2 linked regions of the Drosophila melanogaster genome follow. Changing the gene in region 1 together with any one later gene gives a genetic interaction. Each region holds a gene or a part of one and is shown in the gene's direction. Other genes may lie near its edges. The genes, in order: Fur1 and trk.

Region 1 (5,300 bases):
GGTAGATTTGAGAGCAGTTTCGTTGGCGCCTTTTTCTCCACCACAAGTGGTGGCAACAAGCCCGCCTGCGACAACTGCTGGAACACGCCCAATTCCTGGTGTCCAAACAGATTGCAGTAGTTCCGCGCAAATATCTGCAGCTCCTCGGGCGCCACGCCAACGCAATGATGCAAGAGGCACAGCAGTCGCAGTGTATTAAATCTCTGACCATCTGTGGTCAACAGCTCGTCGATCTCGCTTAGCAATCGCTTTCTTGAATCATTGTTTAGTATGTCCTCCTCCAGCGTTTGGAGCTTCCTGAAGTTACCCATCATTTGGATCACAATCTCGCTGGCATTCAGATGCCTAAGGACTTTGCTCTTAAGCTCGGTTAGTTTGGGTAGCTTCCTGGCCACATAGTCATGCATCTCGTCCAGCTGCATGTCATTGAGTTTCTGCAGTTCCAAGCCCAGGGCTTTTACTTGTGCGTGAATCAAACTGCTGACCTGAGCAAATCGTTTGTACCGATTATCGCCGTAGATCTCATCGGATGTGGAGTTAAGACGAATGGAACACGGCTTGCTGGCTGAGTTTACGCCTATCTTGGATTTCTTTCCCTGGAGTAACTCCACACGCTGGCTGCGGATCTTGTTCTTGGAATTGTCTACCAGAATCTCGCCAGAACTATGCTCGAAAACTTCCAAGAGAAGACCTGCATAGATGGCCGGAGTGAGCAAGCTGGCGGGGTAATCCTTATCCCGATCGATGACCAGCCAGCCGCCATAGTCTGGAGGATTTGTGGGCGCCGGAAGTTTGCCAAGAGTCTTCGCCATTTGCATTAGCTGCGACGAGTGGTGGCCAAAGCTCAGAATCAAAGACGGTTGTCCGCAAATCATCTGAAGCAATCGCAGGCTCTGGGCCACCGCAGGCAATGGAGATGTGTTCTTCTGCAGGTAGAGACACTCGTAAAGCTGAATAATAAGAATATCCAGTATAAAAGACTCTTTTCTGAATGTTCAATGTACATCTACTCACATTGGGCAGCTCCAAGCTGAGAACTCCCTGATCAAAATAGATGAAGTCCCAGTTAAAGTGATGAAGTTGCACCAGTCCGTACAAACCAGCCTGTTCCAGCAGGGTTTGAAAATAGGAGTAACAACTGGGCACACAGACTATGTGATACATTTTCATGGAGATGTCGGGCATTTCCTCTGAGGCCACGGGTTGCAATTGCTTGAGAAGTGTCTGAAATGTACCCAAAACACTGCGGATCATGTAGATGTGCACCTGATCGGCGGATCGGGGCAAAGATTGTGCCGCATCATGTTTGTAGATCCGTTGTATGCCCTTCAACCTGTTAAGGGGTATATATAAGACGTAAATATCCATAAAATATGGATTAAACACCTACTTCAGCCAGGAGGCAGTGACAACATGTTCCAGTGGCTTTATCAAGTCGGGCTCCAAAATTAACTCCTTCTTTCCAGGTATGCTACATAGTATGGAACAAAGCTGCAGTCGAATTGCAGGTAGTTAATAGTTTCACTCTTCCGATTCATTATTATACCTTTTCTTGTGCCACCAACTGGAATCCCTGCAGCTTTTTGTCCAGCGTCAAATCCATTCTTCGCCGCACAACACAAACAGCTGATGCAGCAAGGTAGCAAAATGTAAGGTGACGCACGCAAAATAAAATAGGGTTGTCACAAAGCAAATATATGCAGTTTTTATTACGTAAATGTTTATCGCAGTCAAAAAAGCAGTATTACTAGTTATTCTATACAATACATTAAACAAAAGCTATACTCAAATTAATTATTTTGAACTTATGCTACTACTGACGTCACAAAGTGTTGAGTCACCATTAAAAGCATTAATTGTGCACAGTCTTAATTCCTGCCGATCCAAAACTTATTTTCAAAGTTCGAGCTATCCGGTTTGTTAAACAAAAGTACTTAATCTACTGCTCAGTTTGATTGCATACCACTGTGCGAAGGCTGTTCGCTCACGAACTATCGAACCGGTTCGCCATGCGTTCCCATCTTTAGACGGGTATTTAAGCGCGATTCGCTGCAAAAGTGGCAGTTTCGTTCCAAATTCCGAAGCGAGAGTTTGTCGTGGGAAGTTGTTGCGCGCGCCCTGTTCGCATTTATGTGTTTTTATCGTGATTCCGTCAACCGAAATCATATGTTTTTAGCCAGGAGAGAGACGATTGCCAAAACAGCAGCAAAACGGGCGGAGTTCTGCGGTGGAAAATCGAAAATTAGCAAGCGCACGGAACACACTGTGATTGGAGCGAATTAAATGTGAATCAAAATATGGTTAGCCATTCGAAAAGCGTGTAATAAAATCGTGAAGAAAAACCAGAAAACAAATTTGTTATCGCTCTCTGTCTCTTTCTCTCTCCCATTCTCGCTGCGATTTGCTCTCCGTGTGTTTATGTCTCAGCTGTCCAAGTGTGTGTGCGGGTGTGTGTGACGTATGTGCGTGCAAGTGTTTGTGATTTTATGTTGTTGTCTTGCCTGCTTTCGCGTGAAATTCAACAACAACAACAACAGCAGCGGCAGCAACAACAAGCAAAGCAACAGCCAACAACAAATTTAAATTGAGATTTTCCATATTATCAAAAGTTACAGGCGCCTATTTTGCAGTTATCAGGTGAGCTTGCACTTACATTGTTTATAAATAATTTGGGTTTGGCGCATGTGGGTGAAACTGTGCAAAAATATGTGAAATATTTAATCTAATGACAAAAATAGCCGTGCGGTCTGGTTTGTTGTTGTTATTTTGGGCAATTGCAGCTTGTTGCATGTTCTCGTCTTCTCTTTTGTGCCGCAGATTCGTCTCTTTTTTACCGCTCTCTCCTTCTCACTCTGTCCTGCTTGCAGTTGTACATTGTTGCCTTTGTCAATCATTATCTTTGTGTTTTCGCTTCGTTCTGTTTTTGTTTTAGTGGCTAACATTATTTTCTTATAGTCCGTGTGTGTGTCTTCTTCGCGTTTTCTTTGCGGTTCAATTGTTGTTGCGATACCGGTTTGAGCAGCTGTCTCGCTCGGGCACGCTGCACAGGTTGCTGTTTAGATTACTTTTAATTTTTCTATTCTTTGCGCTCCCGTGCCTTCTAATCGCATCTTCTTCTTCGTGCTCATCTTTCTAATGCCCGTTTCTTATTGTTGTTGTTCTTGTTGCCCCTCCCAATTATGCTTTATTTGTTTGTATTTCCCTCTCTCCCATTAAAAATAAGTTTTTGCCATGGGTTTTATAATTTATTGGCCTTTCGATTTATTTAAAAGTTTAATTTTTGCCCAGACTGTTCAACTTTTGCTAATTGCCTACAAGTTTTAAAAGGTTTTTAAGTAGTTTAGCTTAGAACAGGTTTTGCAACAGTATGTTTTGTTAGGAGAGTCACGTTAGAATGTTTCAACTATATATGATTTTTTTTAATATTTATTGTTTTATAATTGAAAGCATAAATAATGTAAAATTTGCGTTCATATTATTTTTCTTTTTATAATTGTAGGTTTGCTCTCGAAAGTGCGAGAAATTTTAAACATGAATCATCATTTCAGAACTAAACAAATCTTAAGAGATTTGTTTGTATTGCATAAAATACAAACAATTTGATTTTCTTGTGCTGAAATTAGTATTACTGCTTAGTTTCACCATTATATACTAGATATAGAAAAAATCATTAGGATCCGCTTTAGGAATAAATCTAAAAGCAAGTTAATTATCTTTACTTGAAATGAATTTTTATTCCGACTAATGCGACATTTTATTATTACTCATAAGAGTGGTTAATCGTTAGTTGGATTAAAGAAGATGTGGATTCCCGTTAATGGGAAATTCCGCTGAGTTTATCGAGGCCATCGGCGTTTCTCAATTCGATTTCCAGTCCGAGATGCGCTCTTCACTCGCTTAATAAAAACAATAATAAGCTGAAAGCAAAGCAAATCGAAATAATTCATTTGCATTTACATAGGTAAATAAACAACACCATCACCCGAAGGTGATTCCAATCCCAATTCCAATCGCACCCCCATAAATTCTCTTGCCAAAGTTCGGCACTAATTAAAACCTGAAACAAATTACACATCTACGGGAGAAGAAAACGAAACAAGAACTCGTGCAAACAGCAATGATTTTGAAAAAGAAAGCAGAAAGCATTTTTGCAACGTGCGTTGCTATTCGTTACCCCCCACCCCCTCCAAAAAATTTACCCAATCCCCAAAAAGATTCTCGTTTTGGTTCGCTGTGTGGAGGAGGCGTGTGAATTTTCGTCGGTTTGATGTCTGTTTTTGCTCTGCTCATTTCCACGCTCACACATCAAACCCAATTAGTATTGTTCTTCTGTTGGCATATGGCAAATATTTCCATTTGTCTGTTTGTACACATATAAATTGCTTTGTATTAGCTTCGTTTCACTCTCTTTTTCGATCTCTGGTGTTTGGCGTAAGTCTGTTTAAAAATGTAATTATTCCCATACTTGGCGGGTTCTATTTTTGGGCAGCATTTTCGGTACATTTTGACACATGTGTGTGTTGGAAAAATGCGATTGAAGTTTATTCTTACGTTTTTTGAACATTTGCCAATACTGCGTCGCTTTTTAGCTGATTTGTGTGCTAGTTTGGTAACGAATTCATTTTACATGATTAGGTATTTTTAATTTGTATATTTCTTTTACAATATTTTTAGACCCAAAAAGTGAGTACATATATGCATGTACATTTAAAGAAAAGTGAGTGCTTTATTTTAGCACACTCATCAAAAAACCGCAAACAATCGCGGCAATTCGCACTCATGCGTTTCTTTACGTTAGGGTGACTCACTCGACTCACTCGAAGACAAGACAAGTAACAAAGAATTGTTCATTCTACGGCATTCTTCGCTCTTCGGCTTTCATCATTTCTTTGGGACGGACGCACTGAGCCATGTTTGTTTTTCTTGCGCCGAACCAGAATGGCGAAAGTGAACCCAACTCGAGTTGGGAGACACAATGGATATATGTTGGGGATGTAGAATCTGGGATGGATGACTTGCTCTGACGTACAGATAGTGTTTGTGTGTGTGGTTTGCCTGCCTTGAGCAAAGTATTTTGGCGCGTGTCCAAGTAGAAACAAAGAAAAGCAACGAAGGTGCGGCAAATATAGCGAATAAATCAGCAAATCGTTACTTGGCCACTATATTCGTGGAACTGAGCCTAAGAAATATACTTGAGAAGTATCTAAACGCTACAGATGAATTAATACATGAAATACATTCTCTAGCACATTTGTATATTTTGGAAAAACGTATATTTGAATGAGGAAGATGTGTTTGAG
Region 2 (3,556 bases), on another chromosome or scaffold:
CCCGATGAAAATTGGGACACTTCGCAGGGTAAGCGCGTCTGGGCCTGCATTTCCCATCGGTCTCACACAACCATAGCCAAATATGCCCAATATCAGGCATCCAGTTTTCAAGACAGCTTGAAGGTAATGTTCGTTGGGTTGGTTCCTCTTTAACATGAATACAAGTTTACTTTATCGTGTAGCTTATTTTACCGCAGGATGAAAGCGATAAAGGTTTCCCCGGCTCGCAAGCAATGTCGGATTCAGACTCAAAGGACTCGGTATCCAATTCGAACATTGTTCTCAAACGTAAAAAACACAAAATAAACAGCAAAATGTTGAGGTAATAGAAACTCCAAACCATTTATGTCTGCATTACGAACTTTATGAACATAAATTAAATGCTTATTTCGCTTTTTTTTTTAGGTTCGGGACCAACGTGGACCTCTCCGATGAAAAGAAATGGAAACCACAATTAACAGAGCTACAAAAACTGCCAGCTTTTGCGCGAGTTATATCCGCTGCCAATATGCTATCACACGTGGGCCACGTCATTTTGGGCATGAACACCGTTCAGCTGTACATGAAGGTGCCCGGAAGTAGGACGCCTGGCCACCAAGAGAACAACAACTTCTGCTCAATCAACATCAACATCGGTCCTGGCGACTGTGAATGGTTTGCCGTCCCTGACGCCTACTGGGGCGGAGTTCACAATCTTTGCGAGAAGAACAACATTAGCTATCTGCACGGCTCGTGGTGGCCCGTCCTGGAGGATTTATACAAGGAGAATATACCAGTTTATAGATTTATACAAAAGCCCGGTGACTTGGTTTGGGTGAATGCCGGGTAAGCACTGAATATGAAAGGAAGGATGATGTATTAACAATCAAACCTACTTTCAGATGCGTCCATTGGGTTCAGTCGATCGGTTGGTGCAACAACATTGCGTGGAATGTTGGACCCTTGACTGCCCGTCAGTATTCTCTTGCCATCGAGCGATATGAGTGGAATAAAGTGCAGGCCTTCAAGAGCATTGTGCCGATGGTGCATTTAAGCTGGAATCTTGCAAGGAATATTAAAGTGTCTGATACCAAACTTTTCGAGCTGATAAAGTGAGTTAGCAAATGATAGGAATCACCATTATGCAGATACTATAGGGCATACATATGTAATTTGTAATTTTCAGAATGTGTTTGCTGCAAACGTTGAAAAACGTATTGCACATACAAGAGTATGTCAAATCGAAAGGTGTGGAAATACGTTTCAATGGACGCGGAAAGAACGAAGCATCCCATTACTGCGGACAATGCGAGGTATTTAGCGTAGTATTATTAACATATTTATACAGTTTCCAAAGGTGATATGAATGCAGTTTATTTAATCATTTGTGCACTCTTTGCAGGTTGAGGTTTTCAATGTGCTGTTCATCAAGGAGCAGGAGAAACGACATGTGGTCCACTGCCTATCGTGCGCGCTGAAGCTATCTCCGTCGCTCCAGGGAATCGTTTGCCTGGAGGAGTATCGTCTGTCTGAGCTGCAGCGCGTGTACGATTCGTTTACTTTACACAGAACCCAAGGACTAGCATACACTCAGTAGTTGTAATACGAGGAATCATTTTAAGTAATGCAGATTTAATATATGTATATTTTACAACGTACAATATACTCTCTATTGTTTTGATAAAACATAACGGTACGAATATATAGAGATGGGATTTTTCGAATAAAGCCATCAGAGCAGTTTTTTCGGCTATTATGTTTGATAGTCGAAAAAACTGGAGCCCACTTGAGTAGCGAAACTTACCTTATGATGACAATTTTATTATGACTTCAAATATTTAGACCCATCTTTTATAGTTTAATTTAAAAAAAAAAACTTTAAATTTATCCAAAGTTTAGAATGCGTTTTAATTATATATATGAATAAATTTAATTTATAATCTTTCGCAATGACACTGAAATTAAAATCCTTCTTTTTATTGAATTGGCTGTTATTACTTTAGTACCTAAATAAGTTACAGTGTAGAGAGCAACGATAACTGCTGTAAACACGATAAATCAATTGGTTGATATTGGTGTAGCCCTGTTTTTAGCCAGCCATGTTTCTGCGTATACTGTGTCCAACTATGAAATCCCAAAGTGAACTGGCCATTGTGCTCACTTGGTTGGCAGTGCTGGGGACGGCTCAAGATGATGCCGATTACTGCGCCGAGCTATCCACGCAGTCGCTGGCCAAAATTCTGGGACAGGCATTTAATCCGCGCTACATGAGCATCGATCCGCCGGGCGAGCCCGAGGAGAAGAGCTATCATCTGGGATACAAGCGATCGTCGTACGAGCTGCCCTTCTATGCGGACAGTGATGCGATTTCGGTTAGCCACTTTCCCGCCTGGGAGACCAACCACTTTGCGCTGGTAGAGAAGAAGAAGGAGGCACCGAGGAGCAAGAGTCTGCGCACGAGAAGCGCCTTCATGGATCGTGTGGGACATCCGAGAATCGATGGGTTCAAGCAGCGGCCGTGGGAGTGCTCGTCGAAGATCAACTGGATTGACTTAGGCTTAAATTACTTTCCACGCTATATCCGTTCGATCGAGTGTATTGCCAGAAAATGTTGGTATGATCACTTTAATTGCAAGCCAAAATCATTTACAATAAAAGTACTGCGCCGTAAAACTGGCTCATGCATTCGAATAAACGATAAATTGATTTTGATCACCGCAGAGAAGTTTGAGAATGATTATACGCAGCTCTGGATTTGGGAAGAAATAGCGGTTAACTTTTGCTGTGAATGTGTTATGCTATACTAGTAGCGCCATTTAATCAAGATTTAATTAATATACACGTTTAAAATGTCAACAAAAAACTTTAATAGCATTGGGAACAACAGATACCTTAATGGGTCTTGCATCGTACTCCTCGCCATCGATGGAGTAAAACTTCTCGCCCATTTCACCATCCGGATGCAGTTGAATAGTCCTGCTCTTAACCACCAAGCTGGGTAAAATTTTGCTGCACGTGACTTCCGGAATTTGTTTGATAAACTCCCAGCCCGGCTGCAGGGAGCTTATAAACTGACTTTCCAGCTCCGCAAAGTTATCCTTGTTCTGAACACAATTGATGTTAATCTGGCTGGCTTCAGCGCTTCCCTCGAACTTCTTGCTGCAATTGTCGTTCTTGACGAGCGGCCTCTTGGTTTCACCCGGATTATTCTTGTACTTAATGAGGCCTCTGGTGAAGAGGCCAGAAGGCTGGGCGGTCTCCTGGCGCTGCACAGTAGCAGCACAGTCAACGCAGCCAGGACACGGCGGTGTGTACACATAGTCGGTCTTAAGGCTCCAGTTATCGGCAAAGGACTTGGACGCAGCGGAAGCGTAGTGTCGCAGTGGTCCAAAGTACCAGTACTTATCCTTTGCCGCATCGATGTCCTCCAGCAGACCCCAGGACAGACCATTAAGACCGAATATGGGCTTCAATTGGCTATTGCTGCCATCTTCTTCATTGATCACATCAAAGCGGATCACACTCTGGTACTGGCTCTCATCCTTGAGCATAGGTTCAAGGGCTTTCGAAAGACTTT

What was found.
Region 2: of Fur1 (region 1) and trk, changing one enhances a phenotype caused by changing the other (phenotypic enhancement), as found in Drosophila melanogaster (one study listed by BioGRID).

Annotation. Positions count from the first base shown.
Region 1 is NT_033777.3:25,469,819-25,475,118, reverse strand, and holds the start of Fur1 (furin 1), read left to right. Parts: upstream 1-2,060; 5' UTR 2,061-2,637; intron 2,638-5,300. Other genes in the region: Vps33B (vacuolar protein sorting 33B), read right to left, coding at 1-950, 1,015-1,333, 1,391-1,491, 1,547-1,603. UniProt on the Drosophila melanogaster protein: Furin is likely to represent the ubiquitous endoprotease activity within constitutive secretory pathways and capable of cleavage at the RX(K/R)R consensus motif.
Region 2 is NT_033779.5:10,270,732-10,274,287, reverse strand, and holds trk (trunk), read left to right. Parts: upstream 1-1,963; 5' UTR 1,964-2,078; coding exon 2,079-2,786; 3' UTR 2,787-2,831; downstream 2,832-3,556. Other genes in the region: Utx histone demethylase, read left to right, coding at 1-123, 183-322, 406-825, 882-1,091, 1,166-1,292, 1,382-1,576; Mulk (Multi-substrate lipid kinase), read right to left, coding at 2,832-3,556.